2 linked regions of the Drosophila melanogaster genome follow. The protein of the gene in region 1 purifies or fractionates together with the protein of each later gene. This does not show direct contact. Each region holds a gene or a part of one and is shown on either strand. Other genes may lie near its edges.

Region 1 (4,694 bases):
ATGATTATCGAATAGACAGTGCCACCGGATCAAAATGTCCATTGTCTAAGCTGCCACCGCACACACCCAATGTAAAATTAAGTGAAAACAGTGATAATCTTAGGGACTCTGTCAGTTCGATTGATCATAAAACTGTCCAAAGTCGCCTGTGTCTATTTTTATATGAATCAAAATCATTCATGTTTCCGTGTTTCCAGGATCAATCGACCATGAGTAACTGGTCAAATTTTTTAGCTGTCCCTGCCAAAATATATCGGATTGCATAAGTTCGTGCCCAAGTATATTTGTAAATTTGTCGTAGGGCTTTTCCCGCAAGTCATTTGAATCAAATTTGTACGATTATGGAATTTTTAATTCGCAAACACCTGTGTCGAGATTCCCCCTCTAGTAAATACGTAAGTGGTTATTAATGTTATATTAACTATTGTGTAATAAACGTTATACAAAATAAAAAGTAACGCCCTGGTTTTTGTAGTGTGAAATTGGTGATTAAACATCTCGAAACAAATATGTAATGTATGGTTATCTACTTTATTTTTTTCCTAAAATTAATTAAACTGAATTAAGTTAACAATCATGAATGAAACGGCTCCGAAGCTAAAGCCTACATGCACTTGACAATGAACTCTAGGAAAGCCAGATCCTTGTTCAGCTCGGTGACCCGCTTAAAGTGTCTCTGGACGTACGGAGTGAGTACCTCGACCATGTTGCCATTGTAGTAGAACCTCGCCTTGGGATCCAGAAGAGCATCTCCGATCAAGTACTTGAGGATCATGTTGCCCGCCTGCGAATGGCGCGAGTTGGTGGTCCATGCCTTGACGTGCTGCAGCAGCGCAACCCGCTGGTCAACGTTCAACTGGTCAACCAATTGCCGGAGACCGGGCTCATCTCGCTTGCGGACAAAGTGGTTGATAATATCGAAACTGGCTTTGGGCTTGTCCAGGTTCAGAGCCAACACGAAGGCCTTGTGAAGCTGCTTCTGGGCGTGCAGAAGGGAATGTAGGGTCTGCTCCTGCTCCAATGCGGCCTGCCGCTTGTCCAGCGCTTCGTTTCGCGTCACCTGAGTGACATCACCGAAGCGAATCAGCTTGGAGTCCGCGCCGCCGGTGTAAAAGAACCGATTGCTCCTGGCGGATACGGCCAGCGCCCAAACCCTATCGTTGTGCTCGTCCAGGGACTGCAGACATGTGTTGGTCTTGATATTCCACAGCTTAAGAAGGCCATCCGAAGCAGCGGAGATAATGAACTTGCCGTGATCCAGGAACTCGGCTCTCAGTATGGTGCACTCCTGATCGAAACGTTTTATGCACGAAAAATTGCTGATGGACCAGATGCGGAGAGTACAGTCCGACGATGAGGTGAGCACGATCTGATCCACCGGAGAGAAGCGCACACTCCACACACCGCGGGTGTGTCCCCGCAACACTCCTTGCAGCGTGTTGGACTCCGCCAGCCACACCTTAGCCGTCTTGTCTTGCGACGCGGTAGCAATAAGCTTGTTATTCGGAGCATATGCAACGCAGTTCACCTCCTTGTCGTGGGAAAGCGCTGCGTAGCGCAGGTTGAAAGAGTACGAGTTGCGATCCTCCTTACTTCTGACGAGCTGCCATACCTTCATGCTGCCATCTTGGCTCACGGATGCAAAGCCAGTAGCTCCGTTGTGCGTCATGGCCACGCAACCGATAGTGGACGTGTGGCAGTTGGCCTGTTGAGTCAGAGCCTCAAGCGAGCAATCTTTGTCGTGCTGAAGCCTCCAAAGCCGAACGCTGCAGTCCTTTCCCACCGAAATCAGCAGATTTTGGGATGCAGCAAGGGACATTACCGTATCCGAGTGACCCACGATCAGCTTGCAATTCATGTCGTGTTCCGTGTCGTACAGCTTGAAGTGCTTGCTGTTGGTGGCAACGGCCAGGTAGCGATCGTGTTCGCCCATAAAGCACATGTCTAGGATCTCGTCGTTGTAACCCACCAAGTGTTTAATGGGTTCCAGGGTTTCAACGTCGTAGACCAAAATATTCTGCTCTGTAGTGACCAGGGCCAGCTGTTTTAGCTCGCTGCAGTGCAGCAGTCTACTAATTTGGAAATCAGATTGAGAAAGAATATCCCTGATCTTCCAAGATTTAGGGTCGACCTGTTGCAGCTTGCCCGATCCGCTCGCCACGATTATCAGTTGTCCCTCGTCTGCGTACACGACTCCCTCAAGCTCATCGTACAAGGGAAGAACCTTCAACTGCTTGCTTTCCAACTGCTCCTGCAATTGCCACACGATCATAACCTTGTCCCGGCTTACAGTCACGATTTCATTGCAGTCGGACGCGTTGCTCTTAAAGCTCAAGCCGGTGACTTGCGACAGGTGACCTCGCATCTTGTGCACAAGTGTCTTCGTCTCGTAGTTCCAGGCATAGACAGTGTTATCCGAACCTCCGGCGTAGATCTCTTTGCGCAGCACATTGGGATGAAAGACGAGGAGCCAAGCGGGACCAGGGAAATCCTTGAGGGCACCCAGACAGCTGTTGTTCGAGTAGTCCCACAGCCTCAGTGTGGCATCTGCACCGCCGCTGGTGCAGATAAGCCTGCCGCAGGGACTAAACTCAACTCGGATGACTGGTCCCTTGTGCTGCGCCTTCCACAGCTTCACCAGCTTCCCAGTGTCCAGCTGCCACAGCCTAAGCAGGCCACTTCGATGGGCAGTAACCAGATGCTCCTGTGACAGCCCGAAGCAAGTAATCGTATCCTCCTCCACATCGATATTGTCCAGCTCCGCCGGCCTCTTGTTATCCGCCGACGGGGAAGACAAGCCGTAGCTATTTAGGATTTGGGAGGTCTGCACATCCACCTGGTTTACAGCTGAGCCATTGAGGCAGTAAAGATGATGGCCATTCGGGCTCCAGGCGATGTCGCCGCCGGCGTAGAAGTTCGTGTAGCGGGCCTCCGCCGCATAGCTGGATTTTAAAATTGTTGTAGTCTTGCAATCATCAGGTAATTATTAAGTTTATGTTACCTTTTCTCGCTGATACCCGCCAGCATGATTTTCGTTGTTTATAAATACAAAAACCGCGTGCGCCGCGGATCAGAACATGAACGGAACTAGTTCGAAATGTTACTTTACAGAGCATGTAAGGGGATATTCGAAATGTATAAGTAGAAAAGAAAAGAATGATATTAACTTCAACTGTGCTAAATAAATAAAGTACCATGAATTGGTGATTTATTTTTAATCATTCGAATTTTATCTGAAAAAATCGCGATTGGTATACGATTGGTTTTTATTGACGATAGTCGTTCCGAAACTATCGAACCTCCTTGACCGATAGGCCCCTTTGTTTTGTCCACCACTAGCCAAGTAAAAGCCGTCAAATCATCGTCGCATTCGACCCAAGGAATTAAACTAATTTTTGCGTTTGAATTGTTTAAATTTTCACAAAGTCTTCGCTATGAGTACTATTGGCACTGGAGTAAGTGGTCAGCGAACTACATATCTGCAGATCCCTAACGTCACCCTCTCGCTTCCAGTACGACTTGTCGGCCTCGCAGTTTTCGCCTGATGGCCGCGTTTTCCAGATCGACTACGCCTCAAAGGCGGTGGAGAAGAGCGGCACCGTAATCGGGATTCGGGGCAAGGACGCCGTGGTGCTGGCCGTGGAGAAGATCATCACCAGTAAACTGTACGAACCAGACGCCGGCGGACGCATCTTCACCATCGAAAAGAACATCGGAATGGCGGTGGCCGGCTTGGTGGCCGATGGAAACTTTGTGGCTGACATTGCGCGTCAGGAGGCAGCCAACTACAGACAGCAATTTGAGCAGGCTATCCCGCTTAAACACCTGTGCCACCGAGTCGCCGGCTACGTTCACGCCTACACTCTGTACAGTGCCGTCCGCCCCTTCGGACTTTCCATCATTCTCGCCTCCTGGGACGAAGTAGAGGGGCCACAGCTCTACAAGATCGAGCCGTCCGGCTCCTCCTTCGGTTACTTCGCCTGCGCCAGCGGCAAGGCCAAGCAGCTGGCCAAGACTGAGATGGAGAAGCTCAAGATGGATATGAGGACCGACGAATTGGTGGAGAGCGCTGGTGAAATGTACGTTTACAGCAAAAAAAAGGGACTGTTTCAAAAATCGGGCGGGCTTTATCCTAGTTCCGAGTGGAAACTTACTTGCTCTGACAATAGGAAGCATTTTTGGGACATCTATTGCACTTAGAATCTAGGTTTTTATTCATAATTAACATATCTATCCTATGTCTTAGCATCTACAAAGTCCATGACGAGTTGAAGGACAAGGACTTCCGCTTCGAAATGGGTTTGGTGGGCAGGGTAACCGGTGGCCTACATCTCATAAATCCCTCAGAACTGACGGAGAAGGCGAGGAAAGCCGGCGATGCGGCCAACAAGGACGAAGACAGCGACAATGAGACGCACTAGTTCGTTTGTGTGCCAGTGAATCTAATTCTGGGCCTCATACATAATGTTAATTTTATATTTCCCTAAAGCGCAAAATGAATAAACAAAATCGGGTGAAATTTAAGGTTTTTATATTTTTATACTCTCATTCTTTAATAGTTATCGTTCGATATAAATATATTGGCTCGCTGGTTATCGGATCTGGTTCCTTTTGAATGTGCCTGCAGCTATTAAACCTCGATTGCTACAAAGAAAAACCTTATCGCTCACAGCTGATGCATTTCGCGCCATTTG
Region 2 (5,068 bases), on another chromosome or scaffold:
CACATCCTACTGCCGGCCAACCGGACCTATTGAGAAGTGTACCATCCAGAAACTTAGCTACGGACCGCCAGGTGCCTTCCAGCGCTGCGGAGGTAGGTTATCACCAGATTTACTTCCTAGCATTTATAAAAAAAAATGCATAATCCCAAACAGGTCCTTGTGGAACTGGCGCTAACGATGGCACCTTTCCCAAAGCCGGCATTTGTTAGCCTGGAAATACATTATGGTTGCTCTGAAGAATCCGTCTCCCAAGCTCATCCCGAGTTCTACGTTTTATGTTCAAGCTAAATCTTTCAGTCCACGTCTTCTAAAGAGATATGTTGTTTTCTGTTGTAAATGCTTGTCAAAGGGTTCGCTTTGCGAACTGCATCCATTAATCGAGCGGCGCTATCCGTTTGCTTCGCTGCACCATCGCTTTTATCCGATTTTGTCAATCCCATATGCATATACAGAAAATTGCCGGTGATCCAATACATGGCTTATGAATTATGGTGTATTCCTCATTGTCAAATTAAACTCTGTTCACAGAAATATAGAAATCCAGTAAATCACGGAATAACTAATCGTTTTAATTGGATTTATACAACTAAGTCTAGGGTATTGCGTCTCAAACCATTTGAATCTGCAGCCTCCGCTTGCTGGCTTCTCTCCGCTTCTTATCCCGTTTCTTGCGGGTCTGTGTGGCCTCCCTGAAGAGCTGGACACCATCGCGCTGCTCCACTTCCGTTTGCAGCAGGGCCAGACCGTGCAGGTTCCATCCTAAGACATCGCGCAGCTGACCAACGTCCCGCTTGAGCATCGAGAGCAGCTTGACGAGCAGCGGCTTCATGTTCTTAGCCGCCGAAATGGGCTTCATGTGCACCTTGAACAGGAAGATGGTGACGCGGCAAAGCAGCTCCAGTTGGTCGGGTCGCTGGGTCAGCAGAGTGGGCAGGCGTTCGAGGACTTCGCACACAGTGGAGAAGGGGAGTAGAAGAAGTGCCTCCTCCAGATCGGACGCACGTATCCTCATCAGGGTGCTGACCAGGAAGTCTTCGGGATTCTTAACCTGCAAAGCCTGCATCAGAGGATGTAACTCGGGTTTCTCCTCCGCCTCGAGCTCGAACTGTTTGGATATCTCCAGACATTCGAGTATCGATTCAGCAGACTGCTCGGAACCCACTGTTTTGCGTGACGGCATCTTCAGACCCGGAAGCAAGGGAACTGTGTTGTCCTCGCCCGTGGCCAGTTGCTCATTCTCCATTTGCTCTCGCTCCTCCTCCTGCACATCCTTCAACACAATAGTCTCATCTGTTCGCTCGAACATTCTAAGAGTTCGATCTGATCCGCAGGTGACCAAATATCGGCCATTCGGAGAAACGGACAGACAATACGCTTCGCCTATGTGTCCAGGTAAGGTAAGAATCTTCTCGAAGTTATCGCCATCCCACTGCTTCACCTTTCCATCCTTTCCACACGTGAAGAACATGTGCGTCCTGGGTATAAACTGTACACTCATTACCGAATCGTCGTGTGCAAAAATGGAACGATGACAGTCTCCGAAATTTAAGCCCCAAACTTTTACGTTACGATCTGCTGATCCTGTTACAATGAGATTGGAGTCGTAGGAGATGTCCAGGCAGATCACAGGTAACTTGTGGCCGTACAGTGATAGGTAGAACTTAAAGGTGTCCAGGAAGAAAACCTTCACGGTGGCGTCCAACAAGCCCACAGCCAGGTACTTCATGTCCGGACTAACGGCCAAACAGAGCACGGTCTCCTCCAGCTTCAGTGTGTTTTTGTGCAGCAGGGACAGCACCTTGGTTTGGGCAGCACCCTCGCCGGCATCGATCAGCTCGAATGTCCAGATCTTAACCGTGGTATCGCCGCTGCCAGTGACGCAACCCTTTTGATCGGGCAGTATGGCAATGGACCAAAGTTCGCCTTCGTGAGCCGGAATCTCCTCCACTATATCAGCCGCTGCCACGTCCACAATGAGCAATTTGCCACTCTTCATGCCCAGAAGGACGTAGCGATCGCCGGGAACAAACTTCGAACAGAGGATGTAGTCCGTTGGCACAGTACGCAGGCACTGCATGGCATCTCGATCCCAGAACTTAAAGGATTCTCCAGCTCCGGAACCAATGGCCAGGGAATCGTTGCTGAAGCATACGGATCGCACTTCGGACTGGTGCCCCAGACGAGTAAGTGACCTAAGTAGTTTCGCGCTGGGATCGGTTGCTTTGCGCGTTTTGATAGACGCCTCCAGCGAGTACAAGCACAGACTGTTGTTGGCCAAACTAACAAGGACACGCAGCTCCTGGTTCTGGCCCAAAACCACATCTATGGACTTGATCTTTTGCTTGGCACGAATGCTTTCCAGTCGCTTGATTTCATCGCTCAGCGATTGTTCCGTGGACAGTTTTGCTTCGTCTGATCCCTCATCTTCGGCGACCTTTTTCTCCTTCTTTAGACGCTTAGCCAGTCGTTTCTTTACCTCGTCCGGCGTGCAGATGTAGAAGTTCTCGATTAGATCATTAGTGCCGTGGCAGCTGATCACGCGTTCACTGGGATCGGTCACCAGGTTGACGGTGCGGCCCTTTCCAGCGCGCTGGATGGTGCCGCAGTTGCTCACGCTAATGGGGCTGATGGTGTCCTCGTCATCAATAGACAGGCCTTCAACTGCAGACTCCAGAGTTTCAGTGATGGCACCGTCGTGCTTTCTCAGGCGGTAGACATTCATGCCGCTTTCGCCGGCGCCAGCTACCATTAGATTCCCAATAAAGGCCAGTGCCCAGACTTCGGTGCGGTTATCCACGATTGTCTTGAAGCAGAACTGCGTCTCCAGGTTCCAGAACTTGATCTGCGTGTCCTTCGAACAGCTTACCACTATGCTCTCGTCTACCAGACGCTGCAGGAAATGGGCGTCCGTGATGGCGGCATTGTGGCCACTCAATCGAGCTCTTCCCGCCTGCTCCACCACATCGACGACCACCAATTCGGTGTCCAGGCCTCCGCTCACCAGACGCATGCCCTGCAAATCGTACCGCAGGATGCTAACAGCGTTCTTGTGGAGTGCCAGCGTACAGATGGGATCGTAGTACCTGTCCGAGCTGAGATCGAAGATCTGCACCATGCCATCCGCATAGCCAACGGCAATGTGCAGGTGATCTGGCGAGACCCTCAGGGAGGTGACCTCGAACTTTTCGCGGCGCAGCGTCAGCTTGCGATCGCCCATTCTGGGGAAATATAAATTCATGTCAGTTTAAAAACGAAGTAAAGGAAAAGCTTAAATAGCCTTACCGCAAATCCCACACGATCACATTTTCAGCAGCTGGAGCGGCCACATATCGACCCTCTGTCTTGTCCACAACGGCAAAGTTCACATTGGCGCGGCCGGAGGTGATGATATTAAAGCTGTCTATAGCCCGGTAGGCCAAATATTGTTTAGTTAAACCCATTGCAGCATTCAAAACACATAAGGTAAATCAAAAATCGCGTTTCACGTGTTTGGAGATGGTTCCCAATCGATTGCCAGCCGTTTCTATCGATTTGTTCTTCGCAAATCAAAGCAGTTGGCAGCGCGATTGGGTGGCAACGCCGCGCGATTTCCGTTACGCGCCTGCGCTTTTAAAACTCGAAAATCTAACAAACCCACCCCAAAACGTTTAAGATAACTCTGTTTTTGGCCAGCTCAAGCTGCAGTTTTTTCACAAATAGCACAGAACAGAGATCCAAATATGTCTACCTATCCCAGTGCTTCCGCATCCCAGTCGACAGGTATTAATAACATATATTCATTTTAATGAGAACAGAAAGTAAACAAAATCGCTCTAGGAACCTCTGACCTGGACACCGAGTCCGTGGAAGTTCTGCGGGAGCGGCTGAGCACCATGAAGCGGCTGATGGCCGAGCGGACGTCCCAGCAGCAAAACAACCCGGCGACCACGGAGGAGATATTCTCCACCAAGCGCCACCGCTCGGCGGGCATCATCGATGGAAACTTCCTGAGCATCGCGTTCGGCGGAGCTCTGCTGGTGATCATCACGGTTTCGGTGTACGCCTTCTACAGTCTCTACCATGCCATACTCAAGAAGTTCCCTTCGCGCCACGAGGAGCTGTAAACGATGCCAAATTCGATGGCGGTTTTCCGCTTACACACAATTATGTACGAGTTTCTGCATTTAATAATAAATTGTAGCATGAATTTTACTATCAAAAAGTGAAAAAGCCTTGGAACGTGTGCTGTTTTGCATTCGGGTTAATCAACGCCATTTATTGGAGTTCAACTCATTACAAAAATCAATAGTCTCATCACTTTTTACACATCCATTGTTTTTTGTTTGGTTCGAATTAGACTACAACTAAACTGAAAAGGGAAAACTGAATGCATGGACAGCAAAAAAGAAAATGGGGCGTTTGGAAAATGATTTGGATATTGCTATATGGAAAACCATCAAAATATAACGCAGGTGTATAATAAAAACAAAAGACATGACACGAAACGCTGAAAAGGAACACTTGGGGGGATGGGGCGCAGATATATCTGGCGAAAACTCATGGATTTGATTTTGCTTACTCGCTAGCTAACCTCACATCTCGCCTTTTGATCATTATTATTATATATCCTTTTGCCTTAAATATTAGTGTTCGCTAAACTCCTATTTTATGTGTATGAGTTGTAGATTTCATTAATATATCGTTATGTTTTTTATTTTTTTTTTTTACTTTTTCATTTAGTTGGATAGATTTGTTGGTAGATAAATAATAACTAATATCCGTTTGTTTTTCTTTGTTTTTTCGTTTTTAATTCAAATATTATTAGTTTATGTTTCGCAATGTTCCATTTCTTGCACAGCGTAACAGTTCTACTATTTGTAATTAATAATTTGTTGTTTAAGGCGGCCATAAATCAAACCGTTTCAATTTGGATTTTCGGAATAAAACAATTTCAGAGTAGATTAGAACATTAAAAATGGCTATAAATGAACTGATACTATAGGTTTGGTTTCGCAATTTAACTGCCGCTGCGCCGCTTTGTGGATGCCGGATAAATGTTTAGGATTGGATTAGATTGGATGTTGGCTAT

What was found. Proteins that work in one complex are often made in the same cells at the same time.
Region 2: the proteins of CG1671 (region 1) and CG8064 purify together in Drosophila melanogaster (affinity purification with mass spectrometry, with the first as the bait; one large-scale study listed by BioGRID). This does not show direct contact.

The regions. Positions count from the first base shown.
Region 1 is NT_033778.4:9,846,458-9,851,151, reverse strand, and holds CG1671 (uncharacterized protein), read right to left. Parts: upstream 3,092-4,694; 5' UTR 3,028-3,091; coding exon 3,002-3,027; intron 2,943-3,001; coding exon 605-2,942; 3' UTR 510-604; downstream 1-509. Other genes in the region: PCB (pyruvate carboxylase), read left to right, coding at 1-15; Prosalpha7 (proteasome alpha7 subunit), read left to right, coding at 3,435-3,455, 3,514-4,079, 4,247-4,421.
Region 2 is NT_033777.3:18,282,106-18,287,173, reverse strand, and holds CG8064 (uncharacterized protein), read right to left. Parts: upstream 3,515-5,068; 5' UTR 3,441-3,514; coding exon 3,283-3,440; intron 3,219-3,282; coding exon 608-3,218; 3' UTR 550-607; downstream 1-549. Other genes in the region: CG7131 (uncharacterized protein), read left to right, coding at 1-92, 154-209; CG14312 (uncharacterized protein), read left to right, coding at 3,720-3,759, 3,817-4,103.